Linked DNA regions of Diceros bicornis minor. The protein of the gene in region 3 purifies or fractionates together with the protein of the main gene of each other region. This does not show direct contact. Links are inferred from orthologs where the notes say so. Each region holds a gene or a part of one and is shown on either strand. Other genes may lie near its edges.

Evidence for each region.
Region 1: the proteins of GARS1 (region 3) and IARS1 fractionate together in Homo sapiens (co-fractionation; 3 studies listed by BioGRID). This does not show direct contact. The link is inferred for Diceros bicornis minor from reciprocal best matches to the Homo sapiens genes GARS1 and IARS1.
Region 2: the proteins of GARS1 (region 3) and GFPT1 fractionate together in Homo sapiens (co-fractionation; 3 studies listed by BioGRID, with this or other methods). This does not show direct contact. The link is inferred for Diceros bicornis minor from reciprocal best matches to the Homo sapiens genes GARS1 and GFPT1.

What each region holds. Positions count from the first base shown.
Region 1 is NC_080761.1:59,349,849-59,360,353, reverse strand, and holds the start of IARS1 (isoleucine--tRNA ligase, cytoplasmic), read right to left. Parts: upstream 4,637-10,505; 5' UTR 4,547-4,636; intron 3,396-4,546; exon of another isoform or gene 2,992-3,395; intron 918-2,991; exon of another isoform or gene 785-917; intron 1-784. Other genes in the region: NOL8 (nucleolar protein 8), read right to left, coding at 8,280-8,330, 8,812-8,891, 9,480-9,550, 10,124-10,250. UniProt on the Homo sapiens protein: Catalyzes the specific attachment of an amino acid to its cognate tRNA in a 2 step reaction: the amino acid (AA) is first activated by ATP to form AA-AMP and then transferred to the acceptor end of the tRNA.
Region 2 is NC_080751.1:19,011,777-19,022,223, forward strand, and holds the start of GFPT1 (glutamine--fructose-6-phosphate aminotransferase [isomerizing] 1), read left to right. Parts: upstream 1-6,534; 5' UTR 6,535-6,698; coding exon 6,699-6,705; intron 6,706-10,447.
Region 3 is NC_080742.1:54,889,402-54,899,591, forward strand, and holds the start of GARS1 (glycine--tRNA ligase), read left to right. Parts: upstream 1-5,336; 5' UTR 5,337-5,351; coding exon 5,352-5,573; intron 5,574-10,190. UniProt on the Homo sapiens protein: Catalyzes the ATP-dependent ligation of glycine to the 3'-end of its cognate tRNA, via the formation of an aminoacyl-adenylate intermediate (Gly-AMP).

The DNA.
Region 1 (10,505 bases), on a different chromosome or scaffold from region 3:
AAGCACAATAATTACCCATGCCACCAAAAAAAATAAAAATTTTATTACAAGCAGTCTCTCTTCTTTTCTTTCACTTCATTTATTTTTGACATGCGAGAGTGCCTTTGAGTTTTATATAGGAAAAAAATAAGAAAAGAACAGGTAGGCCATGTAATTAATTCAGCTATACATTTCTGATTAGATTGTGCCATTAAACTGTACTAAATAGAAGCTGAACGTCATTTTGGATCGTCAGCTCTTGTTATAACCTCCAGCCTTTCAAGGACAGAAAGAGGTGTTGGTCTGCGCATTTACTGATTTACTAGGGGTCCTATTGGTTCAGTGACTACATTATTAGAGGCCACCTGAAACTTACGGGATTACATTTGAAGACTAATAGATCTTTAGAGATCAACACATTTATTTCTGTCACTTCTAATGCTCCTCAAGGCTGGTCCTATGATCACCAGCATCTATAGGTGCTGACTGATCAGAGTAGACTCGCCAGCCCCACCACAGACTGAGGAGTCAGAATCTTTTAACCTTTTAATAAGATGCCAGGGGATTACCACGCACATCAAAGTTTTGAGAGTCACTATTCTCACAGTTCTGACCATTATTCAGGAATATCTATCTGACTTTTTTTTTTTTTTGAGAAAAAGAGATTTAAGCTTTCTGTGAAGATGGATCGAAACTCACATGAAATTTTCTAGGGAGCCTCTACTCTCCCAAAGATTAAGAATCATTGCATTATTATGCCAAACAAAAAGACCCACTGTAATGGCACTGACTATTCCAGGAAGAGCCATGTATCAGTGACCGGGCTATGGTGGCTGCTGAGGAGAAACAGCCCCCATGCATAAATCACAGGATTGCTCTGGCCCCTCATATCCACTGGAGAGCTGTACATACACAACAGCGTCCAGTAACCACAGGGCCCGTGTGTGTGTGTGTGTGTGTGTGTGTGCGTGTGTGTGTGTGTGTGTGTGTGTGTGAGGCGGGAGAGGAAGGAGATTAACTTCACCTCAGGGAAGCGTTCTCCTCTTCCCTCTTACTATAATCCACTCTTCCCTATTCCAGGACTCCTTAAGGCCTCTTTGCCTCAACTTCCTGTTCACCAATTTCTAGATACCCTCTTTGACCTTGTGTTTACCTCAACAGATCTTAGAAAAGCATTCAAAAACATTTTCATTTAAAATAAATCTCATGATCTTCCTTGCCATACTTGCTCCCATTAATCCCACTGTACTAGTAGTTCCACATTCCTTCCCATTAGCTGAAATTTCTGAGTCACCCTTAAATACTAACAGATGACCCCACATCCAATTGATCACCAAGTCATGTGGATCTGACCTCTAAATCTATTTCTCCGTTCCTTCTTCTTCATTCTCAGGTCTTCATAACCTGTTACATTAAGTCAAATCTAACCCCAGAGGTGGGTCCAACTCCAGCCTTTTCTCACTTTAGTTATATTCTTTTAACATATACTCCACAGATATACTTACACAAATGTATAAAATATGTGTACAAACATATTAACTGAAGCATTTTTTTTTCTTTTTTTTTGTGAGGAAGATCAGCCCTGAGCTAACATCCATGCCAGTCCTCCTCTTTTTCTGAGGAAGACTGGCCCTGGGCTAACATCTGTGCCCATCTTTCTCCACTTTATATGGCACATCACATGGCCTGACAAGCGGTGCATCGATGCACGCCCGCGATCTGAACCCGGGCCGCCAGCAGCAGAGTGTGCACACTTAACCACTAAGCCACGGGGCCAGCCCCTGAAGCATTTTTTCTGTAGACAAATATCTGAAAACAACTTAAATGTCCACGAATAGGTAACTAAAATAAATTATGGTACATCAATACCATGCAGGCATTAGAAATAAATCATAATAGATGCAATATACATATTACTTATACATACTGAGAAAGAAAAGAGCAAGTCACAGTTATAGCAACTTATACTATGTATATTATAACATCATTTTCAAGAGATTTAAAAAGTATATAGTATATTAAATCTATGTTTAAGTAATTCTGCATTTGAATTTAGAAGGCTACCCAACAAACTTAACTATTGCTACCAGCAGTGAGTAGGATTAGGAGAGGAAGGCACAAAAGAACAGATTTTTGTTACTTCATACTACTCTGTTTTGATTTTTTTTAAGTGTGTATTAACTTTATCACAAAATCTTTTTTTTTTTGGTGAGGAAGATCAGCCCTGAGCTAACAACCATTGCCAATGCTCCTCTTTTCGCTGAGGAAGATCGGCCCTCGGCTAACATCTGTCCCCATCCTCCTCTACTTTATATGTGGGACGCCTGCCACAGCATGGCTTGATAAGCGGTGCGCAGGTCTGCACTGGGCATCTGAACCTGTGAACCCCTGGCCACTGAAGCGGAGCACGCGCACTTAACCACTATGTGACCAGACCGGCCCCTATCACAAAATCTTTTAAAATAAAGAGAAAAATAAATATCATATATCCCACATACCACTGTAGATTAACCTTCCTAACGGAAAAGCTCTGAAACTATCATTTCTGTATTAGAAAAAAAAATCCAATGGCTCCTCACTCCCAACGGTATTCTGTACAGACTTTTCAGTGCAGCACTCAAGGCCACCATGATCTTACCCCAAATTACTACTCTTACTCCAGACCTTTACTCTTATAAAACTCAAGCTCCAGCTATATCACCCTCCTGGACGCTGCTGAGAAACATAACTGCTTTCCTGTATCAGGCAGGCCCTTTCTCCACAAACTCGAGCACCACTTAGCTTAAATGTACCTCCTCTACAAGGCTTTCGCCAATGCCCTCTTTTTAGAACTAATATCCCCCTCCCCAGAACCTGATCCTCTCCTACACACTGTGGCTTATTTGTGCTGCATGTCCCACACACTCTCCAATTCAACTGTAAACTTATTGCTGGCAAAAGCATTTTACCATCTAACCTCCAGTGTGTGCTCACACATGATAAGTGCTCAAAAACGTTTGTTGGAACAAATACCTTTGTCAGCATCCTTAGTTTCCATCAGTGATACTCCTACTCTCAGCTGCCTTTCCAATCTATCCCACTCCATGGGCTGCCCCTGGCACAGGATAGTGGTGAAGAGGACTGGCTTTGGAATTTGACAGTTTTGGTGCCACCACTTAGTATGTGAGCTATAGGAAAAGTTATTCAACATTTAAATCTCAATTCTGTCGTCTGGAAAATAAAGGTCACAAACATTCACAATGCTAATTCAACGGTAAGCGAAATAACGGCTATCACAGCTCACAGCAGTTGCGTATCATCTATGTAAGCCATTATTATTACTTCTTTGCCCACGAATTCCATTCTGTTGCTCTTGCCCAACCACTACACCATCTTTCCAAAAATACTTAGCTGCCTTCTCTTCCCTATAATTCACCGTTTTTTTAATAATTTTATTTATTTTACCCCAAAGCCCCAGTAGATAGTTGTCTGTCATAGTTGCACATCCTTCTAGTTGCTGTATCTGGGACGCGGCCTCAGCATGGCCGGAGAAGCGGTGCGTCGGTGCACGCTGGGATCCGAACCCCGGGTCGCCAGTAGCAGAGTGCACGCACTCAACCGCTAAACTACGGGCCGGCCCTATAATTCACTCTTTAATCACAAAGAGGATATATTGTCCGCCATTTTACTGATATTTACTTTTTAAAAGTTCATCATGTTACTAGAAATTTCTTAAATTAATTACTATACCTCTGGTTTCATCCTTTCTGAGCTCTCTGCAAAACCAGAATGCTAAAAATAATATTGAGCCATCTTATAAAAGACCCATCTTCTCTTCTGGGCTCATTTCAAACACCACTTCATTAAGAAGGAATCCATAAATTCCTAAGGCTGGAGACTACTTGCCCTCTCCACTTGCTCCTCACACACACCCTAAGCTGCAGCGACAACCGCGACCCCCCCATCTCCGGAATCAACACATTCAAATTCTCCGGGCCCCGGACTCACTCGCTCTCTCCCCCATTCTTACTCATCTTCTAGGCCCCAAACCAGCACAGCTCCCGAGAAGCCTCCTTCTCCACCTCCGAAGCCCCCTGAAGAACTCCTCCTCCCCCGCGCCGGCAGCGGGCGTGCACTCGGCAAGCCGCATCCACACACTGCGTGAGCCGAGCACCGGAGGCCGCGGCCCTGTCGCCGCGCTCCTCCGTGCGGGCCTAGGACTCGATTTCTTCTTCCGAATTTTTCCGCTTCCAAGAAACTTCGCCCACCTTCTGAACTTCTCCGGCAAGCTCCGTCACACCCAGTTCTCACGACCACCACGGTTTAAGTGCTACCACCATCCCAGTCCAAGCTGAGGAACTTCCGGACGGGGCGTACCGGAGGGCCCTGAGGGCAGGACGGGGTGACCTGAGGAACCCGGGGGCAGGACGGGGTGACCTGAGGGTCCCGGGGACAGGAGAAGGTGACCTGAGGGTCCCAGGGGCAGGACGAGGTGACCTGAGCGTCTCGGGGACAGGAGAAGGTGACCTGAGGGTCCTGGGGGCAGGATGGGGTGACCTGCGGACCCTGCGCTCAGGGCGGAGCGTACCTGAGGGACCCCTGAGCCGGCGCGCCTGGGAAGGAGCCGCGTGCGCGCCGCAGCCTGACGGACCGAGGTGATGCAACGCCCTGACAGCGCGGAGCGAGGAGGAGGGCACTGGTCCGCCCCGGCAAATCAGCGCGCGCCGCCCGACACCCGTCAACAAGCCGAATGCCGGTTGGTCGCGCGGGTCCCGGCCACGCCCACCGGGCCCCGCCCCGCGCCGCGTGCCGGGAAGGCGCCCGCCTGGTGGCCTCCGGAGGGGGGACTGAGTTGCGGGGACAGCGCCGGGAGGCTGAGGTCTGCATCCTGGCTGGGCGTGGCTACACGGGTGTTTGCGTTTGTCCGTGTTCCCCGCTGTACACTGTGCGTCACACCACGCGTGAAACGAAGCCAGCGACGGTGGCCTCAGTAGTTATACTGCGGGGCCGAGAGCACGCCGTCCCCAGGCTGCTTTCTTAGTTGACGGTTCCAGGAAAGAGCCCCCCACTACAGGGCTGTTTTCCAGCGTGGTGCAGACCTACACCAAATCACCCTGGGGCTGGCCTGCCGAGACTGTCTCTGCAGGTCCTGGGTAATTCTGCAGCACGCTAAAATTCCTGACCCGCCCGTAAATGCAGAGGCCACAGAACAACGTCTGGGAGGAGCCAAAGCCCTCGTGGTCAGTGGTGGTCCAGGGAAGCCTCCCCTGCTGAGTCTTTCAGTGCTACCTTGAGTTCTGGATTTTACTGCAGCAGTTACGGTAAAGGGCCATATGAAGAGAGAAAACAACACAAAAAGGAAGGAACTGCCTGGTAACCACTTTAAAATTGTTTTAGCATGTTTCCTGTAAACAAAATTAATTTGCTTATCTGCTTACTTAGCACTGCTGTGTGTCTGCCTGGCACCTTCCAGACCTGCTGGTTAAAAACCAAAGGGGATCTGGAGCCACACAAAGGACAGTAGACCTCAGGCTTTGGCGCCAGAGACTATGAGGGAAATTTTAGGCCTTGACAAATTAGGAGTAATTCTGTATGTAACTGCTTATTGTATCCATTAGGACAGAAAAATTTGATCTGGCCGAGAATATGTAGAAAGCACTTCTTTAGTAAGTTGAAGTAAGAACATTTTGATAGTCTGTGTAGCGTTCATTCAGTACTCCTGGTCTAGGAACATCCTACCAAGTGTCAGGGATTAGAGGAAGGGGTACTGTCCTTGTTCAAAGGGGTAACTCTCTGTTCAATAACTTAACTCACTTGAACATATATATTTAGTAGTTGTGTATCTTCAGCTTATTAACTAGAAGTACTTGGAGTGTGTTTTAAGTTTTGCAGTCCTCAAGTTGCTACCTTGTTTGCCACACTTTTATCATCTGTCCAGACAGCCTAGATTAGAGCAGGACAGAGGGCTCCCAGACAGATGTGTCCAGGGAAAAAAGGTGGGTGGGGATGACAGGTCTGATTATTTAAAACTTAGACTGAGAAACATTTTATGGTGCTGTTGGAAGGTATGAGAAGACTAAATCTAGAAAAAAGTTGACAAGTGAAAAGATTCTAGGAAAAACAGTTAAATGTGGTCAAAATATACTACTTGGATTAAAGAGTTGGATCCTCATTGTCAGAGTAAGAAGTCACTAAGTAATGTCTAAAACTGAAAAACCAAGAAATCACAGCATAAGCATGTTAGGTAGAAATATATCAGAGAAAACAGATACAATTACTGAAGGTGGTTGTATCTGCAGAGCAGGAATGGGGATCGGCAAGGTTACCTGATGTCACTTATTTGGTTTGGAGAAGGAAGGTGTGACATTTAAATATGGCCACAAATTCTTCAACACTCCTCCTACTGAGATGTGTCTATGTTCCCTCCCTGTGAGTCTGCCTGGGCACAGCCTTGAGTGACTGGCAGCATCTGCTGCCTGCTCCTGAAACCTACTTGCTATGCTGTGAGGAAACCCATGGACAGGCACTAAGTGAGGAGGCCGTCTTACAAGTGGATCCCCAAGACTTAGAGGCAACTTAAGTGCCCATCAACAGATGAATGGCTAAAGATGTGGTGTACACACACACACAGACACAACAGAATACTACTACTTAGCCATAAAAAAGATGAAAGCCTGCCATTTGCAACAAGACAGATGGACCTTGATGGTATTAGGAAATAAGTCAGAGGGAGAAAGACAATTACCATGTGATTTCACTCATAAGTGGAAGATAAACAAACAGAACACACAGATACAGAGAACAGACTGGTGGTTACCAGAAGGGAATGGGGCAGGGAGAGGGCCAAAGGGGTAAAGGGGCACATGTGTACAGTAATGGATGGCAACTAGACTTTTGGTGGTGAACACGATGCAGTCTATACAGAAGTCAAAATATAATGATGTACACCTGAAATTTACATAATGTTATAAACCAATGTGACCTCAATAAAAAAAAAATTAAAAAAAAAAAAGAAGTGGATCCTCTAGCCCCACCTAAGCTACTTCAATGACACTACATGGAGTAGAGATGAGCAGTCACTCACTACTGAGTCCTGACTAAACTGCTTATTTGTGAGTAAAATAAGTGATTGTTACTGAGGTGGTTTGTTATGCAGCAATAGATAAGAAGGTTTAAATGTAATCTACATCAAGAGAAGGTGAAACATTTGGATTATTTATCCTGCTGAGTGGTTGTTTCCATTCTCCCTGAAGTCTAAAGTCTTGAAAACACAGAAATCCCCAATGACTCTTCAGCTACTTAGTTCCTTGGACCCTGTTTATTCAAAAATATATGTACTGAGCACCTACTATGTACTAGACACAGTTCTAGGCAGTGGGGACATAATGGTTAACAAACCAGATGACATCCCAGCCCTCACCGAGTTTATATTTGATCAAGATGTAAATCAATACTTAATTTCAGATATACACATTGTGGCTCAATGATAATCCCTTGTGTCTATATAACACAATTTTGTACAGAGCCCAGTTTGACAGGAGGCTACATCTGTCTTGAATCTTAACCAGTTTGATTTAACAAGGTATTGAATCTGCTTCCCTATCTGGACTCAGGGTCTTGACTCCTGACTGTGACTACATATCTTTCAGACACTTGGGTTTTTTCATAAGCCTCTGGTCTAACTAGAATTTTGGGATTGATAGGCCTGCCTCCATCTGGAGGCCAAGGAAGGAAAACTCTGCATTTGGCATCCTTTTCTGGTCCTTACAGAATTCTCCTATGATGCTGCTCTGAAATGTCCTGCATTTCAGTTGGCTCTTCACCAGAACACAAGTACAGAACTTAGGGCCAAATTCATTCAACCTGGTAAATAAAGATGACAAAATGGAGGTAAGGTATTTTCAGTACAATCAGAGTAGCCTATAATTCACACAAAGCCTAACCTGGAAAATACAAGTGCTCTGACTCATATATTTAAAAAGGCTTTATGTAAACCTTGCATCAGAAGATGCCAATTAGCTATTGAGGATGGAGGGGAAAGAGATTATATACAAAAAGTATTTTGAGGGACTATCTTGTGCTTCATTTAAAAAAAAGTTCAGTTTTTTTCAAAAAAAGTTAATTTTTTGAAGTAATTACTTAAGAAGAAAGACAGAGGAAATCCATAGAAAATACAGCAACCAGAATGATATCCACCAGCCAGATTTTGAATAGTCTTTCACTCTGATTTTTCTTTCTCAGCTAAAATTATTTTCTGGATCACCCAATTTCCATAGGTGAGCCTTGTTCACATTCAGTATCAAAATCAATGCTGACATTTATTATTTTGGTTTCATTCTCCTTTTGGCATCTTTATGTTTCTTCCGACAATCCTAGAAAAACATAATATCAAAAGCTTTTGTTAAAAATAATTGTAAATCATTTTCAAGGTGTTCAGTAAAATTTAGCTTATTCTGTCTCAGGGTTGTGGAAACCATTTTGGAAATCCTCGCTTGGAATGAACAGGGAATATTCCAGCTTTTGGCTTTAAATGTTTACAATGGAAACTGTAATTCAGTCTTTCAAAAATCTCATGATTTCCTATTACTTAATGAGCATGGCTGGAACTCTGACCAGTCATTCAGTGGGGTCTCTCTTCAGTCTCCTCACCTGCACCACGTGTGGGTTGAATTAATCTCTAAGTTCCCTTCCAACACTATAATTCTGAGTGTTTAAATCATGTTCTCGGTTGTGATCCTTTCTGTCTTAAGTTTTATACTTTATTCCCATATTCTTACACCAGGCAAATACTAACACAAAGATAACACTGTATCTAATTTAGGGGACAATCAATATGGAGATACAATTACTCACCATCCGCAAGTTGTTTGTTCTGGCCTCCCAAGAATTCCTGCTAATATTACTTCCCACTCCTCTCCAGAATAAGTCAGAACCTACCAGGGGAAAATCAAAAATGACGAGGCAGCAAACTACCAAAACAGACAATATTCTAGTGCTGGCATTATATCAAGGTCTTCAATTCTAGTTAAGACCATTTTTTTCCCAATTTATGCTAATTTTCAAAAATATTTTGTTTTTTTACAGAATGAAAATGTAGAATTGCTAGGATTTTACTGTTTATATTCCATTTACTATTATGTAACTTGGTTTCTGTTTGTGTTAGGCTTTAAGAAATGAAGAGTTCACCAACAGCGTCAGAGTTTTCACATGAACTTTTAGGGTACTAAAAACTTAGGAGTTTTGTATGTCTAGCATTTAAGCAAGTCCCTGGAACAAAACAAGCCCTTGTTGATGCTAATGAGTGAGTGAGGGAGGGGTGAGTGGGAGCTCTCAGTCCTCCAGACCTTTACAAGTCAACATGCATCAGTTGAAAAGAGGGGACTAATCCACATGACACTGCAAAGGGTCAGAATTTTTCCCAAACAGTTCCTACTTGGACGCCTGTTACTGTATCAGAATGCACACTGCTGAGAGCTGTGCTATTACCTGTTCTATACCATTTAATCCAAAAATGGACTTACCATGAAGTCTTTCATCATTCTTAGAGAAAAAGAAAAATCTAGTGGTCTCTTTCTCAGGTAGTGATACTTCTCTGAAGTGAGAGAGAGCGAGATTGGTTGGTTAATTTCAATATTTAAGAAGAAATGTTTACACTGAAAATATAAATGAACTATTCCTTAAATATATCTACTTTGTGTTTTGCTCATTTTGCCCTGAGTTAAAGTGACCCCAACTCTCTCTCTATTCAACATTCTTTTCTTCTACCTGAAGCTTAGGTAACGAAGACTCACTTAAGTACGTGCTCCATCCTCCCCACCCACACTGGTTGATGATACTCTCACCCACCATTGCTACCTCATTTGCCAGTGTTTCCCATGAGAAACAGCCAGCCAGCCGCAGCATCCTCTCCAGACCAGGGGCTTCAGAGTCAGGCTCTCTCTTCCCTGTGCACAATCATATGCCCCACCCAGTGTATCCAAATCTCAAGGGGAAGGAAACACACTCCCCATTACAGAAAGGCTAGAGAACTCTCTAAAGGAGCTGAAGGAAGAAAATTAAGTTGTCTCGAGAAGATAGCTTGGAAACTGCCATAATATTTCTAAAGCATGTCTAACTCAGATTTTACAAATTATGAAATATACCTACACAGAAACAAATTACTTACCCAGGGCTGGGCTTTCTGTCATCTGTTTCTTCAGTAACATCTTCCTCTTCTGAACTGCTGTCTTGGAAACGAGGGGCTCCCTGCCAGGCAATCTTCCCAGGTTTCACTGTCTCAACTCTATAGGTCTCTATATCATATGACAATAAAAGATGACAGGATTGTGAACAACCAAGTATTTCTTTTTTTTTTTTTTTGTGAGGAAGATCAGCCCTGAGCTAACATCCATGCTAATCCTCCTCTTCTTGCTGAGGAAGACCGGCTCTGAGCTAACATCTATTGCCAATTCTCCTCCTTTTTTTTTTCCCCCAAAGCCCCAGTAGATAGTTGTATGTGATAGTTGCACATCCTTCTAGTTGCTGTACACGGGACATGGCCTCAGCAT
Region 2 (10,447 bases), on a different chromosome or scaffold from region 3:
TGGCAGTGCCAAATGTCAATCTTAAAATGAAAATAAATTAACATTTTTAATTAATTGAGCCACTTTTTCAATCAAAGATTAATTTAGAAGGTATAGTTTAATCAGGTAGTAGTTTTCATTTTTGCATATATATTTTTTATTTTTTGTGAGGAAGATTAGCCCTGAGCTAACATCTATTGCCAATCCTCCTCTTTCTACTGAGGAAGCTTGGTTCTGAGCTAACATCCGTGCCCATCTTCCTCTACTTTATATGGGACGCCACCACAGCATGGCTTGACAAGTGGTGCGTAGGTCCATGCCCGGGATCCGAACCTGCAAACCCCAGGCCACTGAAGCGGAGCATGTGAACTTAACCGCTATGCCACCGGGCCTGCCACTTGAATATTTAAATTATACTTAAATTCCTCGGAGATAGTCCCAAAGAAAGAAAGTAATCATTCAATTAGCCACCCAAAATGTATAAGATCTTTTTACATGAAGTATTCAAAACACTTTATAAATAAGGGATGTTTCATTCGGTATTTGAAACTAAGATTATTGGCCAAGAGTAAACCAAGCACTTGGAGGATTTTTTACTAACCAAAATTAGGATGAAGCCCTACACAGAATGATAAAGAGCAAAATACATAAAAATAGGAAACTTTCGTTGAGCATTCACTATGTAACAAACACTATTCTAAGCACCTTATATTTATGAAGTCATTTAATCCTATGAGAACGGTAACTATTATTGTCCCCATGAGGCACAGGGAGGAGAAGTACATATTCTGTTGCCATACAACTTAAGTGGAAAAGCCAGGGACATGAGCCCTGGCATTCTGGTTGCAGACCCTATGCACATTGCTACTATACTATTTTGCATTAAGGGAATTGGACCCACATACCGCTCCTGAGTATTCCTACCTGAGGAAGGAGAGAAGCATTCTTTGTCTTCATAGGTGCTACTTTCTAGTGGGCAAAAATCTTTTCCATCTTTTGTTTGCTCCAGACTATCATGGGCCAAAGCAGTGCATGTGTGTCCATTTTTTATGCAGCAATATAAAGCTAGCTGGTCTCTAGTCCAGTGGAAATTTACCTCCCTTTGAGAAACCTCAGCCTTATACCCCATTTCCCCACAACAGAGTTATCTATGATGACTCCACAGGGTGCTTGCAGGCTATGTAGACATGACTTCTGTATTCCCTGAAAGAAACTTTAGAAAGTAGTATTTTTTCTGTTACCTTACATTTCTAGTGATCTTTCAGCTCTAGGCAGCTCCATGAACAGTCCATCTCTATTCTAGCTCCAGTCATACCCTATGGGACAGAAGTAGTGGATAGGACCAGTTAATCTCATGGTTTCCAGTTTGTTGACAATTTGTTGGCAGTAGAATGAGTTTCTTTCAATCCGAGCTAGAAAACTCTGCCCCAGGTTCTGCTACTGGGAAAATTTGGAGCCACTTAGGGGAGGCGTATTGGAGAGTGTTAATTCCAGTTGGAGTCAGCATCGTCTGTTCTCAAGCCTGAGGTTTCTTGGTGGGGCAATCAAGGTCATGTTTACCTGATGTAGTGGACATCTTTTGGTGTCCCTTCTTCATTCTTTTAGCAACACCTTCCTCTTTCTTTGAAGAACTGCTATCTTTTGCTTACTGTATGTGGTGGAACTGTCCAATCACAGTGTCCTGCCCTCTTTGCCACAGGAGGGGGGCATATGACTCACACTGGACCCATCAGAATCAGTGCCTAGAATAGAAAACGTGAGGGTGGAGGAAAAGCCTCTGTCCTCTTGGACTGTGAGCTGTAAACATGTCATTGTAGAGCTGTTTGAAGGTCATTTCCTTGTCCATGAGGTCAGAGAATCAGAGTTATGACAACATTGTTTGTGTCCCTGGATATAGACATGCCTGAAGCTGTTTGGATCCCTGTCTTTTCCAATTACATTAGCTAATAACTCCCCTTCTTCAGCTAGTTTGAGTGGATTTCTATTACTTGTAATTGAAAGCTCTATCCTCTAGAAATTTAAAACAAATACATATATTCAACATTGAGGAAATCAATAAAATCAACATTAGGTGGATGTATTAGCGTTCTTCAGAGAAACAAAACTAATAGTATATATATCTATGTGTACACATATATACGTGTGTACATACATACGTATATATGTGTATACATATGTGTATATATGCGTGCATATATATGTGTATGTATACATATGTGTATATGCGTGTGTATATATGTATACATACGTGTGTGTGTGTGTGTGTATAATAGGATAGAGAGAGAGAGAGAGAGAGAGAGAGATTGAGATTGAGATCTATTTTGAGCAATTGGCTCATGCAGTCATGGAGGCTGGTGAGTCCAAAATCTGTTGGGTGGGCTGTCAGGTTGCAGACACAGGGAAGAGCTGGTGTTGTGGTCCAAGTCCAGTTCTACTGGCAAATTCATTCTTGCTCTGGGGAGGTCAGTCTTTTGTTCTTTTTAGGCCTTCAGCTGATTGAATGAGGCCCACCTGCATTATGGAAGGCAATGTGCTTTACTCAAAGCCCACCGTTGTAAATGTTAATCTCATCCAAAAGCACTGTCACAGAAACTTCTAGAATAATGTTTGACCAAATATCTGTGGCTCAGCCAAGTTGACACATAGAATTAACCATTACAGTGGGTAAAGTTTGCTTTCATCACCAACTTATTTCTGTTTCCTTTTTCCATATCTTGACCCCCTCTCCCTCCCAATACTCAATTCCACATGCCCTTATATTTTCCCTTTCTTGCCCAGTGTCATCAACCAAAGTAATCTGTCCAGGTCTGCCTTGCTTTTGATTTCAGAATTATCTTTAGCCCCATTAAACTTGCATTTCCTTGGTGACCTTTTCACACTTGGTATCCAAATGAAAAGTAATCCTATAAATAGTTTCATTCTAAAGTGTTAATAGGTGATAATGACTTAATGTAGGTCTCCTGGGGAGGGGGATGTGTTCTGCATTAAATACATGCATACAGGTAAAGTTTAGGCAAGGTGATAGGTAAGGTGTAGAGGTAATTTTGGACGAGGGTCCCCTTATAATCCCATTTTGTGAGTGACTATCTAGTACTCTATAGTCAAGACCTGATTATTTAACAACTGGTTCCCTTTTTAATGTTTCCTTTCAAAAAGAGGCAAATGCAAAGATGCAAAAGTTTGAGATGGCATTCTTTTTTAGGGAACTGGCAGTAGTTAGTATAGCTAGCCCATAAGATACTTGAATAGAGTGGTGGGTGATGATGCTGATAAAACTGGCAGGAATGAGTTCCTGAATAACCGTGTGTGTGCATAGGAGTCTGGACTTAATCCTGCAGGTAAAGGGTACTCACTGAATTGGAAGCAGGGAGAAACAGGATCAGATTTATGTTTTTGAAAGGTCACTCTGGTGTGAAGGTGTATAGGATGAATTGGGGTAGTGGTGGAAGCAAAGGGATTCATTTAAGGAGTCTTTCTGAGGCCTTGACTGGTGCCTTTTGTTCTTGTGCTCATTTCTTTCTTCTCAGAGGCCTTACTGGCTCCACCTGCTTCTTTTTCCTTTGATACTTGCCACCATCTTCTCTGTCCACTGTGGTACATTTCTCCACAAACTCCCTAAAAAGTGGGACCAACTCCTCCCACTCCCACCTTCTTGTTTTGCACAGGTCTTTTTTATTGAGATATAACTGACATATATTAGTTTCAGATGTATAACATAATGACTTGATAGACATATATATTGCAAAATGATCACCACAATAAGTCTAGTTAACATCTATCACTACGCAGTTACAAATTTTTTTTCTTGTGATGAAAACTTTTAAGATCTACTCTCTTAGTAACTTTCAAATATACAATACAGTATTATTAACTGTAGCCACCATCCTGTACATTACATCCCTAGGACTTATTTATAAGTGGAAGTTTGTACCCAGACCTTTTTTATTTTAATAATTTTATTGCTGTTTATTTTTGGAATTCAGATAAGCGATAACAAAAAATCACAAATGTGGGGACACTGAAAAATCTGATAAAGCTATTTCAATTATGATTCTACGTTTCTTTAGAAATGGCAACTGGAAGCCCTGATGGCCTTCCATCAGGCTGCAAGGCCAAGAGGGGGCTGAGAGCCATCAGATTTGACAGGACTGATTTTGTGAACAGGGAAATGGACTTACAAAAGAGGTGATGAAGAATGACATCCTCTTACCATCACTACTTTTTTTTTTTTTTTCAGTTAGTTCAGAACTTTTATCAGGAGAGAAAATCCTTTCCATTTCCTCAGATGTGTAAGTAGACCCAGATGTCCCCTGTCCTTCACAGATCATTTATTTTCTCCTCCAGCCCTTATTCCCAAAGGTCCAGCTAAGGCAAAGCTCCTTATAGATAGGGGTCAAAGTTCTTCTGTATCAGTGTCTTGACTGGCACATGGTTACAAAGGGCTCTTTGTTGCAGTGGGTTAGTGAGGTTGCTCATGGTTGGGTTGGGAAAATATTGGCCTTCAAACTTTCTTCCTCTCAACTTGTGCGTAAGCCCCTTCCAAAATAGCTGTAGAATGGAGATGGATAAGACAAATTGATAGTCATGGTGGAGTAACAAGCAGCAGAAGAAAGCAAGGGGTTCAACAGATTATTACTTTGAGCATGAGGACTTGGGTGGTACTGCTGGCATTCTCTTTGTGGCATCGACAGGTTTGCTGACACTGCACAAAGGTGGTGTTCAAACATTGGAATCATACCTTGACTCCTTGGCAATATCACTGAGGTCTTACCAGAACCTCTTAGATGAGGCTAAGATGTACATCCCCAGAGCCTTTTGCCTCTTGAATTAAGAAATGTGTTGTCTGTTAACAGCTCACTGTTCTTTAACTTTGCTCTGGGTGATTTAGGGACCTGTTGAAAGGCCTGAAATATTAAAGGGCTTTCGGGTGAGAAATACTTTGACTAGTTAAATGTGACACTTTCCTGCCTCTCTTTGAGGCCAGTGATAAAAAGGCATTTTTTTCACTCTAAGAAAAACTGAAAAGCCCTTTGCTTACTTGATCATATAACCAGCCATAGAAAGTCAATTCTCCTAAGAACATATGGCTTTTTTTACTCATTCGAAACATCTTTGATCCCTTACTTTGTGCTAGGGTTTATACTAGGTGTTTGGTATGCAAAGACTTGTTCTAGCCTCAAGAAACTTATAGCCTAGTAGGAAAATACACAAAACATCATAAAATATCGAAGCATATTGTTTAAAAGGGGCAGATCAAAGAATGAGAGGTTAATGCATATCCTTAAGTCTGTCTGGGGAGACAAAATAGGTTTTCCCCAAGAGGTGGCAATTCAGGAGAGATGGGGTGGGGATTCCACAAAGAGTAACCAATGTGTGCAAAAGATTTGAGAATGTTGGCCCAGCTGGGAAACTGTTTAGCATTGTTGGAGTGTAAAGGGCTAGAAGGTGAGGTAGGAAGAGAGCAGTAGTGTGAGGTAAGACCAGACATCTGGGGTCAGAAGTCCATGCCGTTTTCTGTATGCCATGCAAGTTTTGCTTTGATTCTAGTTTAGAGCCATTAATAGAGTTATGATAAACATCTACATTTGACTAAAGATACCATTTAAATCTTCCTAAAGCAAATGCTCAGGTAATAAATTCTCAGAAACATCATCTCTCTCTGATTAAGTCTCTCTTGGCAGGCATGGTGCATTAATTCATAGAATTAATCGTTTATGAGTCAAACGTCAGGCTATCAAATCTAGGCACTTCCTACGGTCATCTCGGGTGGGCCATCAGAAATCCGGGCCAGCCAAGTTTCTCAAAGGCAGGCGCATAATGTTGGATACTTGAGCCTTACAACCCACCCCTCCCCCTCTGCAAAAAACTGAGGGTTAGGGAGGCAACGGATGGGGGTGGGAATGGGGTGCAGAGGGCTTTTAGAAGCCAAGCATATTAAACAGAGCTTAAGTCGGGAACTGAATTGCCTGTCACCAGAAAGACTGGCCGAACCTGAATGGCGCTTTGCAGTGAGAATTTTGGGACCTCTTTCCCCTCACCTCACTCAATTCTTTGTGCAATTTTTCTTCAGCCTTATGCCCCTTTTCCACCCTGAGTTGTTTGTTTGTCCCCCAGGATCCCCTTTTTAGGTCTCCTGTTTTCCTCCTCCCCTTTCCCCGCTTCGTGGGGTACCGACGCCTGGGGCCCTGGACTGCACTAGGCGCGCCCCCCAACGCTATTTGCTTTGCTAACAATTCCCTCCTCCTCTTTCCTTATTCTTCCGTCATTCCCTGCCAGCCACCGAGTTTCTTCCTCCGCCGCGGCGCGGTCTCTCCCGCTGCGCGCCGGGGTGCCAGGGCGGCTCCAGGAACCTCAGGCGGATGCGGCCACGAGCCGGTGCCACGTCTCCGCTGCCAGCAGGCCAGCGCCTGCGTGGGCTTGGGGCGGGGCGGCGCGGGGAGGCGGGATCTGCGCGTGAGCGGCGCGGCCACGGCCCAATGAGACCTGCGGGCGGTGGCGGCGGCGGCGCGGTGCGCGCCGAGGGGCGGGGCCCGGCGGCAGTTGCTGTCGAGCCCGGGAGGCCGAGAAGGCTGTGGTTGCTTCAGCCGTCGCATCCCCGAGGGAGTCGTGTCGGCTATTCGCTGTCCCGTAGGTCCGCCGATCGGCCCGCGGGCTCGTGTGTACGCTCCCGACCTCGCCAGCCGCTCGCCGCTCGTCCTGTTGACCGCGCTGCCTGCATCATGTGCGGTAAGGGGGCCGCGGGCGGGGGGCGTGTTGCGAGGCGGTGCTGGGATGTGCTGAGGACGCCGCCTAGGCCGGAGGCGGGGGGCTGGAGCGGGAGTGTGGAGGGTGCGAAGTCTGGGTGATGGGTGGGGGGCGTCCCGCAGTGGTTGAGGGTGCTGGGGCCAGGGGCCGGCCTCTGCGAGTCGGAGGGGGTGTAGTGGACCTAGGCGGGCACCTGAGAGGAGAGCGGGCCCTAGAGGGGATCTGGGTAGCCCAAGGCTGCGGCTTTGCGTGGAGAGAGAACCAAGAGGGAAGAGAAATGTCTGTATTGGAAAAGAATAGAGGGAAGTGAGGTGTGGAGGGGAGTGTCTTCAAGAGTCCACCAGGTGAGGGAGGCAACCTGTGGAACATCAGGTGAGGTCTCTTTGAACTTATCTTGCATTCTTCTAGGATTTACCTTTTTAAAATATTTATTTTTAGTTGCTTTCTTTCGGGCAGGCCCAATAGAAAACAGAACTATAGCTATAGCTACGACAATGGCATTACACATGATCTTACTTCCTGCCACCCCCGTCTCAACAGAAACCATTGCTAATCAATAACTTGGCGAATGGGTTTAGACCTGACCCCTGGTGGGAGAAGTCCGGAAGTGACCGTGGCGGTAGATCATACATCATTTCTCACTTGCATATACACTCATTTAAAACACTTAACCTAAGAACAATATTTGTCTAACGTTTAACAAATGTTTTACCTAGAACAGTTAAGACGTAAAGTTTGGGAGCTTTTATTCCATGTTTTGAGATTAACTCGTTTTAATATTACCTAAAAGTGTCAGTTAAAAGGGATTGTCGTCAGAATTATATCTGAAATGACTGATATGCTCTAAAATTGGTATTAACTTGGTCATTGTCAGTAAAAAGAATTGTATTCTTACCGTTCTTATTGAAATTTACAACTGACCTTACCCATGGAAGAAAGAACACTTTTTTCAGGGAAGTATGATTGTGATAGAATTAGAGCTGTCTGGAAAACTTATTCTTTTAGCCTTTTGTAAGAAGAACTGAGCAGGAGTGGCTTATCTCATTAGTGTATATTTTTCCTGTATTTAACTTTATGCTAATTTCAGCTTCTGAAAATGAGGAGCAGGTTTAAATTTAGAGTAGATTAAAAAAAAACACAAAAACAGAAACACCTATAAATAGCTTGCTGAAATTATTAGAGCAGAGCTGACTTTAGAATCAGTAATACTTTTGCTATGTCTAGTTAGTAGAGCAGTTGTGCAAAACACATAATTTAGTTTGCAGCTGTGAAGTAGTGAATTTGCAAACTGGTTAATCCCCAGCGTGCTTTATTTGGTAATTAACTGTTCCTGAGTGGTGAGGTATGCGACTACCGATGATAAGGGTGAGGCTTTTAGGGTGGAGACTAAACATTGGGAGTTTTCACATAGCCAACATCCCCATTCCACAGTTTGTACTGCTGAGGAAACAGGTTACAACCAATAAATAAAGAATTGGTATTTGAGGCATTTGTAAGGTCCTGTTTTTAACCCAGACCAGAGTTTTGCATGGTTCCAGGAGTAGGGTCCAGAATATATTTCCTTTCGTATGTAAACTCTGAAAGTTAACTGTTGAGAAGACAAGTTTGTCTTTATTTTCCTCCCACATCTTAATCATTGAAAGTTTCGAGGCAGAGAAGTTGAGTGAGAATGGGATTAGATGGGAAAAGTTAGAAGTTTACCTTCTGATTACCTGCTGCCTATTGAAGTTTTTCTAAAAGATTATTTTGTTGCAACATTGCAAAATGTTGAAGCAGAAGAATGAGGGCTAATAATTCTGTGATATGCTTTTTTCCAATCGGATATAGTGATGAAACTGTTATAATGTTTGCCAGGTTGTATTGGGATGTTAATAAATGTTAATTAGGAAAAAAAAAGATTCTATGGTCAAGTAAATTTGAGGAGCAACAGGTTAAACAGTGTTGAACTGGCTTTTTTTATTGGAGGACTTCTTGGAACCTTTAATGTGCTAATAAACGTTGTGAATCTTCCAGAGAAGAATAGTATGTCTATTTTTCAAATTTATTTTATCTTCTTCTTATTCTTGGTTCTTTGGAATAAAGTTTGTCCTTTATCTGTTTCACGTTTGGCTTTGGTGAGCTGGTGTCAAGTCACTTAAGCTAGGGCCGGCCCCGTGGCTTGGCGGTTAAGTGCGTGAGCTCCGCTGCTGGTGGCCCGGGTTCGGATCCCGGGCGCGCACTGAGGCACCACTTCTCTGGCCATGCTGAGGCCGAGTCCCATGTACAGCAACTAGAAGGATGTGCAGCTATGACATACAACTATCTACTGGGGCTTTGGGGGGAAAAAAATAAAATCTTTAAAAAAAAAAAGTCACTTAAGCTACCCACACCTTTTAGCATATTTTGCTTTTTTTTTTAAATAAATGTGGGCTTATACCCTTCTGATCGATGGTGTATATAAATGGATTTTTTGCAAATGAAGTCATAGTTAAAAGCAGTGAGACAGCTTGCAGTTTAAAAGTATCCTGAAATGAATCCTTAAAAAGTTTTGTAATTATATTGTCTAATGACTTTGGGGGTAATTGAGGGATGCTGAGACTGGCTGCTTGGATGAATCATAAAACCAGTACGATTAACATATTCTTAGAAATCATACTGGATATAAAGTAGTTGTGAAAGAAGATAATTAATTGCTCGATAAGCATTTTCTCAATTGTGTTCCCTGGAACGGGAGAAGTTCATAAGTGCTGGTAATGAGCAGTAGAAGATGGGAAAGAGTTTTATAACACACAAGTTTGGGAAATTCTGCTTTTGGAGATTCACAATTAGCAAGATTAAAGGTTCTAGGAAGTTCTGCAGATAAACCTCTTCTGTTAACTTTGTTTAACCCAGTATTTCTTAGATCTTTAATTATGGAACCTTTCTTTCACCTCATCCCTATTTAGCATCCTGCAAAATAGTGTCCTCTTACTGTGATTTGGGAATTTTTGACTGTACATTTCAGGTACCTAGAAAATGAAATGATGGCTTTATACTTTGCACTGTGCCCTTTGGACAGATGACTAAAACAAAGGAATTGCCTTCAGTGAATTGCTTCCTGATTGGCAGAAACCGAATACACATGCAACAGGTGTGGGTGATAATACACAATCCTTGTTTGTTGCCATGTTAGAGACCAAGTGGAGTGCATAGAAATCCAGAGACCGATTAGGTTAGGAATGTTCTGATAATAAGGCAGGACTTTTATGTTGAGGAATAGTGCTAGCTTGTAGAGAACTAGTACACTGTGAGAGATATCATTGATGGCATATATTACCCAACAATACACAGAGTTAGAAATAAATTGAGAACTACTGCCAGCGGGTTTGAAAGAAGAAGTAGAAGTGCCAGGAAAAGCGGCCATAAAAACAGTGGTTAGAGACAGAAGAGTTCCAAAGTAGTATACTGCCTTGGGCAGAGTCTGCAAATGTAGAAAAAGGTCATTCATGTTTAGTACTGCAGAGAGAAGTTAATTGCATTTGGCTATGAAGAAATTGTTAGACAACTTGCATGTATGAAGGCAGAAGGACCTGAGTTTGTGTTGAGGAGGAGGGCAAGTATACCAACAAAGTAGAGAGTATCATGGAACTGAGGTGCCTGATAGAGGTGAAAAGTTGAGTTCTAGAGCTGCGGTTCCTGATCTGTAAGCTGTGAAGTTGTTACAGGATGTCCATTGGTTGATTCATACCTTAAGCATCATCTGTAA
Region 3 (10,190 bases):
TAAATAAAACAAAATAAAAACAAAAACAAAATAAAACTCAGAGTCAGTTGGGCACAGGTGTGTGGTAAAAAAAAAGAAAACAAAAAAAACCCTCAGAGTCAAAGAATAAAATACTTAGGAATAAATTTAACGAAAGACATCCAAGGCCTGTGTTGTTAAGCTATGAATTCTCCCCAAATTGTTCTATAGACTCACAATCCCAACAGGTATTTTTTTTTAATTGACAAGTCAATTCTAAAATTTATGTGGAAATGGAAAGGACCTAAAATAGGCAAAAACAATTTTGAAAAAGAAGAAAAGGTGGAAAATGTACGTTACGTGACTTTAAGACTTACTATAAAGCAGTAGTAATCAAGGAAGTGGGATACTGGCAGAAAGACTGATAGACACACAGATCAGTGGGACAGAATAGGGATCACAGAAATAGACCCACACTTACATAGTCAATTTATTTTCAACAAAAGCACCATACTTGATCAATGGTGAAATCAGTAATTTATCGTAAGCCTTTCTTCTTTTCAACGAATAGTACTGGAGCAACTGGATATCTATGTGGGAAAAATATGAACTTTGACTTCAAACTGTACACAAATATTAATTCAGGATGGATCACAGACCAAACACAAAAATGTGGGAGGATATCTTTGTGATCTGAGTGTAGGCAAAGATTTTTTAGGACCCAGAAGAAATCAATTGATAAATTAGACTTCATCAAAATAAAAACTTTCTGCTTATCAAAAATAATGATTAACAAAGTGAATGAGCAAGCCACAGACTGGAAGAAAATATTCATGAAACATATATCTGGCAAAGCACTTGTATCCAGAATTTGTAAAACTCCTACAACTCAATATTAAAAGTGAAGAACCCAATGAAAAATGAACCGAAAAATGAACCAAAAAGTTGAACGCACACTTCACAAAAGTTTTACAAATGGCCAGTAATGCCACGAAAGCACATGCAACACCATTAGTCATCCAGCAAAAGGCAATTTAAAACCATAATGACGGGGCCGGCCCGGTGGCGCAAGTGGTTAAGTGTGCGCGCTCTGTTTGGCGGCCCGGGGTTCGCAGGTTCCGATCCTGGGCGCGCACCGACGCACTGCTCGTCAAGCCATGCTGTGGCGACGTCCCATATAAAGTGGAGGAAGATGGACATGGATGTTAGCTCAGGGCCGATCTTCCTCACAAAAAACAAACAAACCACAATGAGATACCACTACATCCACTGGAATAGCTAAAATCTGAAAGACTGGCAACCTCAAATGTTGACAAGGGTGTGCAGCAACTAGAATCTCATATGTTGCAAATGGTATAACCACATTGGAAAAAGCTGTGGCAATTTCTAATAAAACTAAATATACATCTACCTTTTGATCCAGCAATTCCCTCCTAGGTATTTACTCAAGGGAAATGAAAACATATGTCCACAAAAAAAGATGTATAGGAATATTTACAGCAGCTTTATTCATAATAGCCCAGAACAGGAAACAACTCAAATATTCATCAATTAGTGAGTAGATTAACAAGTTATGGCATATTCATACAATGGGATAATGCTAAGCAATAGAAAGAATGGATTACTTATACATCAAACAACATGGATTAATCTCACAGACATTATGCTCAACGAAAGAAGTCAGACACAGAGTACATACTATATTATTCCATTTATACCATGGTCTAGAAGAGAAGAAACTAATCTAAGAGGAAAGAAATCAGAATAGTGGTTGCCTGGTTGTGGGGGGTGGGATAACCAGGAAGAGACAGGAGGGAACTTGGTGGGGTGTTCTTTATCTTTATCTTGATTGGGGTATGGGTTATAAGAGGGTACTCCTTTGTCAAAACCCATTGAACCGTACACTTAAGATCTGTGCATTTCAGTGAATGCAAATTTTATTTCCTCAAATAAAGAACTTTAATAAAGAAAGAAAGAAAAACATATGACCATATGTGTACAATGCTAGGGCCTCTTGCAGGGCCTTGAAAGAGCCCATCGAAATGAGGGGTCCTGAAGCTCACTTAAACCTTCATTAGTAATGAAAATAATAAGAAAATTTTCACATATTGAGGTATGTGGGCAAGCCATTTTGGTTTACACCTGATTTGGCCTGAACTTGTTTTTTCCAGAGTAGCCTAATTTATGGCCTGTCAAACATGCATTGTACATTGGTTTTACACACTATCCCAAAGCAAGGAATGCACTCTTTGAAGACAGGGATGAATGCCTCCCTTCCTCTGACGTCAACACCAGTACTCCTTTGAAGATAAGCTTTCCTTCCCAGAAACTGTACCAGCTAACTGCCCCGAGTTGCTTAAAGAGTTACTTAAAGAGTTGCTTAAAAAACAAAATTCCCATTAGCAGTTAATAGTTCGCCAAAGTAGTTGGGATGTCCTTAAAACAACTTTCCATACCTAGCACTTTGTTTTGAAGTTATGCTTGCTTATAGGAACTAAGGTGACACATTGAGACAGAACGTTGTCAGATGGCAAACCACAGAACCGAGCCAAACCAGGAAGATCCAAGCTGGCGATGGGGTGCCATGTGCAGAGGGAGACATGTGCAAAAGGTGGGCAGTGGAGATGGGCAGTGGGCAGAAGGAGATGTGTGCAGAAGGTGCTGCGTGTAAGAAGGGAGATCTATGCATGCCCCAAGACAAAGCTTCCTCTGTGCATATTCATCCCCTACCCCAAATAAAAGGCACCCACTCCCCATGCTCAGAGAGCCATAGCTTTGTGAGATTATTCCCCATGGTCTCCATTTTGTTTGCTGCATGCTATAAATAAAATTCAGCTTTGTGTGACACTACTTCTGGTGCAGTTTGATTAACTTGCCAAGGAGCGGACTCACTTTGGTCCGGTAACAAAACCAGGGTCAAGTTGACCCATACATGCAAAACTGCAGCAAAATATCTCCTTAAGACTTTGAAAAAAATGTATTGCTGTCATGCTTGATGTATGTTCTTTGTTCTGAAACGGTATGTAATCATGCTATAAACCATGCTTCTCTGGAGTGCTTTCTTCCCTGGTGGAGACTGCACTTCCGGGCTAGTCCCCATCATGGCTCAAATAAATCTCATCTTATCTTTCTTATCTATAGATTGGTTATTGATTATTTGCATCCACATTAGCCTCATTAGCTACATGGTAAAACCACGTCTGCCCCCAGCTCATACTCTGGTCCTCCACTCACTTAGCAGTTGTGTGACTGTGGACAAGTTAATGTATTATGCCTTGAATCCTGAATCTGTAAAATGGGAATTATTATGGAGCCTATCTCATTGGATTGGTGAATAAATCACATGAGATAACTTAGAACACTAACTGGCACATAGTAAGCCCTCAACAAATATAAGCTATTATCCTTGTCTTGAAGATGTTTCTAAGGAAAACCACTTAGGAAATTCTGCTAAGGGCCATTTGGACCTATTGGAGTTTCCTGAGCAGAGGAGCAACATGCACAGCTTTGCCTTTTAGAGATAATCACTGAGGCGCAGTGGGGAGGACGAAATGGTGGGGGGAAAGAATGGACTGGGACATTAGGGATAGGACTGTCCTCACATGAACACGGATGAGACATTACTGATCTAAAGAATTAAAAAATATATAGAATTGTATTTAAAGTATACAGAATTTGAATGTTTTAATAAAAATGTAAATGAGAGTACATGTAAAAATTAAAATGGTTTTTCATATTTAAAAATATTAAGATAGGGGCCGGCCCAGTGGCATGGCGGTTAAGTTTCTGCGTTCCCCTTTGGTGGCCCAGGGTTCTGCGGTTCGGACCCCGGGCGTGGACCTACTCACTGCTCATCCATGCAGAGGTGGCGTCCCTCATAGAAGAGCTACAACTCTACAGCTATGCTACACAACTATGTACTGGGGCTTTGGGGAAATGAAAAAGAGGAAGATTGGCAACAGATGTGAGCACAGGGTCAATCTTCCTCAAAACAAAAAACAAAAATTCAATAATTTAACTTAAAAATATTAAGATAAATTCAAAATTACCTGCTAAAATAAAAATTATGATTAATAAATATCAGATCTTCAAATAAAAAGTTTTAAAAATACAAATTATTTAATGTTGCAGAAGGTTCTTCTGCACCTGCCCCGCTAATGCTAAACCGTGAGTACTTCTTTAGAATCACGAATTGAAACAGGAAGAGAAGTGACACGGACTTCCACACTACTGCGAAAGGCAACTTCGTCCTGATGAGCCTGTCTACTCTCGCACACTCCTGGGGTGGAATTGTTGGTCTCAGGGAAGGTGTGTATGGTTGGGTAGATACTGTCTAACAGTCCTCCAAAGTGGCTGCACCAGTTGACACTCCTCGCAGCAGTGTGGGAGAGTCCCAGAGCATCACTTGGCATTTTCCATTATTTTCATTTTAGGCACCTTGGTGGGTGTGCACAATGCTATTTCTACAACCAACACATTCTTTATTTTTCTACTCCCTCTCTGGAAAGGGAATCTAGCTTTTCCAGCCAATCCACCCTTGGGGCACGAGGGAAGGAGGAAGCTATCCCTGGATGGTCCTCAGCTGGGGCCTAACCTCAAGAGGCGAGTCAGCTGAGGCAAGGTTACACAGAGGGAATCCCGCACACCTGGATTCTCATCTCCACTTCCCCTTTCCTCCACTTCTCTTTGCCTCTTGTCTTGCCTCGTCTCTGGTTCAAATCCTGCTCGCCCTGCAAGGGCTGCTCAGTATTGACCTTCTCCATAAAGCACCTCACTTCTCCCTTCCCCAGCTTTTTTCTTGACATTGACAAGGCATGGAACCAGGAAGTTGGGCAAATCATTAACCTCTCTTGACCTGTTTCCTCATCTGAGGAACGAACATTTGAGCTCGAGCAAGAGTGAATCTAAGTCCCTAACTGATTTGACGTTTTATGACCCTTTAAGGCTCACGGGCCAGAGAACAGAAACAGAAGTGTGTCTTCCCTTGGGTCAGCCCGAGAGTCAGTGCCGGTGTAGAAGCCTATGCCTTTGAAGGTCCTTGTGCGTCTCGGTCTGCATGCCTCGGGTGGAGCTGCGTCCTTGAATGTCCACCCTAGTGGAGTGGCCTGACGCCTCTTTGTGCAAATCCGTTTGCAGGGGGGTACTTGAGACCACCTAGCCCTCTCCGGCGCCCACGGTGGAGGAAGCCTTCTCCGAACTCCGAGGGATGCCCGGACGTCCCGGGGTTTCGTGTCGAATCTGCTGGCGACGACGCGGCGCCGCGCCGCGGGGTGGGGAATGTGCGGCTGCGCGCGCGCCGCGGCGTTTACGCGGCGATTTCATCATGCTCCCGGCCGGGCCGCGCGCGCCGCTTCCGCCGCCGCCCCCTCCGCACCGCCCCGGGCCGCCGGCTCATGCCCTCTCCGCGCCCGGCGCTGCTTAGAGCCGCCCGCGCCGCTCTGCTGCTGTCGCTGCCGCCCCGGCTCCCGGCCCGGCCTTCGCCCCCGCCCCGCCGGCCCCTCAGCACGCCCGCGCGCGCCCCGACCTCCTTCCCCGCCGCCGCCTCCCGGAGCAGCATGGACGGCGCCGGCGCTGAGGAGGTGCTGGCTCCTCTCAGGCTAGCCGTGCGCCAGCAGGTACCGGCATTTCGCGCCCTCCTCTCAGCTCCCGGCCCTCCTCCTCTGGTCCCCTCCAGGTCACTCCCTCTCCTCCCCGGGCACCTGCACCTCGCCGGTTACCCTTCTCCTTCATCCCCTGGAAGCCCTTGGTTTCCTGGCATCTTCCTCGCCTCCCCCACTTTGGACCCCCGTTCCCGCGTGCGCCGGCCACCTTCCTCCCGTGGACCCCGTGCTCCCCTCTCCTTAGGTGACTCCTCCGATCCCCTTCGACATCCTGCGTCCCTCCCCTCGCGCTCTGCTCTCCTTTCCCATTCCTTGTTACTGCCCGCGCCTCTTCTGTCTCCGATGGAGCTGGGATTTCTGACCCTGTGGGTCTCCTCTTGTCCTCGCTCAGTGACCTCAGCTTCAGTTTTCCACTTTCAGCTCTGTTCTTTGTACACCGTGGGTGGCGAGGTTCCCGGTCAGTTATGAGCCGAAGCTGCCGGTTCGCTCTTCATACAGCCAGACTCTCTTTTTTAGTCTTCAGGATGCTTTGAATAGTGTTTGCTCCTTGAGGTCTTCCTCCATTCAGTGCTTAGTTAGCTGAATGATCGGCTGAGGAAATAAAAATAGTTGAAACGTGGGTGTGGGGAGGTGTTGAATTTTTTTCCCCTAATGATGTGAGTTCATCGTCCTTTGCTCATATCATCTTTTCTGGGTTCCGAAAGGGCCATTTGGAATGAGTGAGCTTTCAGATGGTAAACCTGGGAAACTGTACATGTTGCTGAGTTACTCGGTGAAGTCATCCTTCCTTCGTATGGAACATTTGGCAATTTGCTTTTGCGGAAAGGAGGGAGGTTGCATGGGCTGGAGGGCTTGGTGATTTAATACGGGCCTCCTTTTCTTGGGGCACAGCATGGATATCAGAATTTGGAGAGGACAGGAAAAAGGTGATTTCAAATGGATTCTCACTGGAGCCCAGTCAGCTGGAGCCCAAAGCTTGGAATAGGACCCCGGGGATCCGTGACCTAGTAGTAAACCCCGAACGGGTTTCTCCTGCACGGGCGCCTGATGCAATAACTTGCCTTAGCTAGGGAGGGTGGAACCCTCTCTCGGAAATAATTCATTGGGGCAGAGCTGCCGCAAATTCAGCAAATTCTGCTACTTTGCAATGTCTACTTCTCTCTAGTTTGAGTCTAACTGATTCAATAGTGTTTTATTGTGACATTTCACTATGGGCTTAATTTTTTCTTTTTTATTGTTGGTATCAGAACGCTGTGTATGCGTCTTCCTCCACCCACCCTTCCCAAATAAAATTAGGTGTGGTTCCTTTGTCTTTTCTGTAACTCTCAATTTTTTTTTCGTATTCCTCTCTGTAGAAGGCAGAATACATCTAATTTGGAAAAACACACACCCAAACCCCTCCCTCTGCCACGTTAGCCTGGAACTGCAGTGCAGATTATCTATCTGTAGTGAGACTGTGGAACTAGTTAACAGAAGTAAACTTGAATTGTGGAATAATCTTCTGGTGCGAGTACTATTTTGTATATTGTTTATGTTGGCTTGGTTGTTAACTTTTTTGGTACTTTAAGGTATTTTTCTGAATATGTAAGTTAGTTTGCGTTCTTTTTCTAATTTTCTAGGACCACACATGCATCAGTTAACTCTGGAACTTTGAATCACACTGATTCCAGTCTCAGCTGGAAGGGACTTTAAAGATTATCTAGTTAAACCTCTGTTTTTGCTTGTGAGGAAGTGAGACACACTGTCACATCTATCCGTTTTACATATTTTTGTTGTGGAGTTTGTACAATTGAAGACATCCTTGGCATGGGATTTTTTATTTATTTATTTATTTATTTTTTGTGAGGAAGATCTGCCCTGAGCTAACATCTGTTGCCAATCCTCCTCTTTTTGCTTAGGAAGACTGGCCCTGGGCTAACATCCATGCCCATCTTCCTCCACTGCATATGGGACGCTGCCCCAGCATGGCTTGACAAGCGGCGGGTCGGTTCGCACTGGGGGTTCCGAACCTGGGAACCCCAGGCCTCTGAAGTGGAGCGTGCGCACTTAACTGCTGTGCCCCAGGGCCTGCCCCTGGAGAGATTTTTAAGGTGCTTAACAATTGGTCTTGTTAGTGGCATGTGTTTCGTGTAAACATGTTTCATATAAATTTGCTAATCTACTAGGCTACCTGGACGCTGTTATTTTTTAAAGGTTTGGTTTGTTGATTGACTGAAATGTATTTTGGCACGGCATATTCTTTCCAGTTATTTTCTGGAGAATTAGTTATGGAACTTGTAGGAAGGCGTCAGAGCATCTAGGTGACTGCATTAATTGTTTGATGAAGAGCACCCTAGGACAATTGAGTTTTTAAAAAATTGGGAATTAGTGTAGGGTGGCCAGCCTTTATTTTGCCAAGTAATGACATTAAAAAAAACAGTACAATCATCAAACTACCGTCTGATTTCCCCTTTCTTTTTATAAAAGAAGGGATATTTTAATACCAAAGAAAGGCAGATCATACCCAGAATAAAGAGCAGTCTTTTATATTTAGTAGGTTTGGCTTTGAAAAAAGATCTATACACGCCCCCCCTCCACCTTTTACCATGTTTTGGTGAAAACTCTGTCCTGGAGTGTCTTGTTTGGGAACCATTGCTCTAGGGCAGTCGTTCTCAAAGTGTGGTCTGCAAACCCTTGGAAGTCCCCAAGGTCAAAGCCATTTTCATAATGAAATTAAGACGTTATTTTCGTTTTTCACTATGTTGACATTTGTGCTGACCGTGCCAAAGCAGTGGTGGGTAAAACTGCTGTTAGCACTAATCAAGTGAGGGGCACCAGACCCAAACATTATATTCTCTGTCACACTCTAACAGTTAAAAAAAAAGTCAGTTTTGCTTTGGAGTATCCTTGATGGAGCAGTAAAAATTATTAATTTTATTAACTCCAGACCTTTGTTCATATATCTTTTTAATATTCTGTGTGACGAATGGGAAGTATGCATAAAGCATATGAAATATGATTGTCTCAGGAAAAACACTCATATGATTGAGTTGCAGGCTGAACTGTCTGCTTCTTTTCATGGAACACTGTTTGTAAAATGTGTGACAAAGTATTGTTATGCAGCCTTAGGTATTGGGCATTCATTTTCTGGAAAATGAGTGAAGTGAGCCTGTCATTTAGAGAAAACAACTGATAGTATTTGTGGCCCGTAATAAAATCAAGCTTTTGATGTGATGAGTGGTGATCTTAACAAATGTGGGTTTTTTTGATACTGTATAGTAAATGGGTCACTATTTGGAAGATCTACATAACTCTGTTAACCAGTATTTTCCAAATGACCGATGCATGATACTATGAAATCAGGTATTGTTAAAAGATCCATTCTGAGTCTAAGATACATGAATGGATTTAATGTAACAGAGTACAGAAAGTTCATTGGTGTAGTTTCCAATTCCACATTGCTTCTAACCTTTAAGAAATAACCTTTAAGAGCCAGCCCTGATGGCCTAATGGTTCAAGTTTGTGAGCTCTGCTTTGGCAGCTTGGGTTCGGTTCCCAGCCGTGGAACCACACCACTGTCTGTCAGTAGCCATGCTGTGGTGGAGGCTCACATAGAAGAACCAGAAGAACTTACAACTCTGCACAACTTTGTACTGGGTCTTTGGGTGGGAAGAAAGAAGAAAAAAGGAGGAAGATTGCAACAGATGTTAGCTTAGGATGAATCTTGCCCTGAAAAAAAAACCTTTAAGAAACTACCACTTGTTCTTGAGTTTTGGTATAGTATCAAAGAAGAATATCTATGATTATTTGAAAAGGCTTTTAAAATTCCCTCCCTTTTCTAACTATGTATGATTTTCTTCGCATACTTCACCCAAAATCCCATATTGCAAGAGAGGCAGATACGTAAATCTAGCTGTCTGCTGTTAAGCTAGAAATTAAGACATCTGCAAAATTATAAAACTGTCATTCTTCTCACTACTTTTTGTCTTATTTTGGAAAATAGTTATTTTCACAAAATGTTAATTTTATGCATGTTAGCACATATTGAGCTTTTATTATTATTTTAAATGAATTAATATTTTAAAATTTGCGTTTTAATTTCTAATACAGTAAAAATTGATAGAAATAACCCACAATAACAAAAACTTTTTGGGGTCCTCAGTTAGTTTTAACAGTATAAAGGGATTCTGAGACCAAAAAGTTGTATAACTGTTGCCTTAGGGGAACAGAAGTATCTCATTTATATGAAGACAGATTTGGGCTGTTATCTGGAATGCAGCTCCCCAGAAGTTCCCATTCCCTTAGCCTGTTTTTCCCTTTACAGCCCAGGGTTTTCCCCTATATATTTCTCATGGTCTCCGCTTTCTCATTTCCCATTCATTCTTCTGTCCTCTGCTCTCTGCCCTTGGCCTCCACCACTGCCCTTGCCTAGTAGTCTAAAGGGTGCTTTTCTGTATCAGCATTTTATCTGTCTTCAGCATTTAACTATGTTGATCACACTCTTCTGTCGAGAATTGCCCCCCTGCCCTGGCTTTGTCTAAACACTGTGAGATTTAGTAGCTGAAGAAGTATATGTCTTAAGGCCTCTTAGTGCAAACAGACCTGCTGAGATGACTTTCACTTGATCTGGAGGTTTAGGGAGGCACTGGTGTA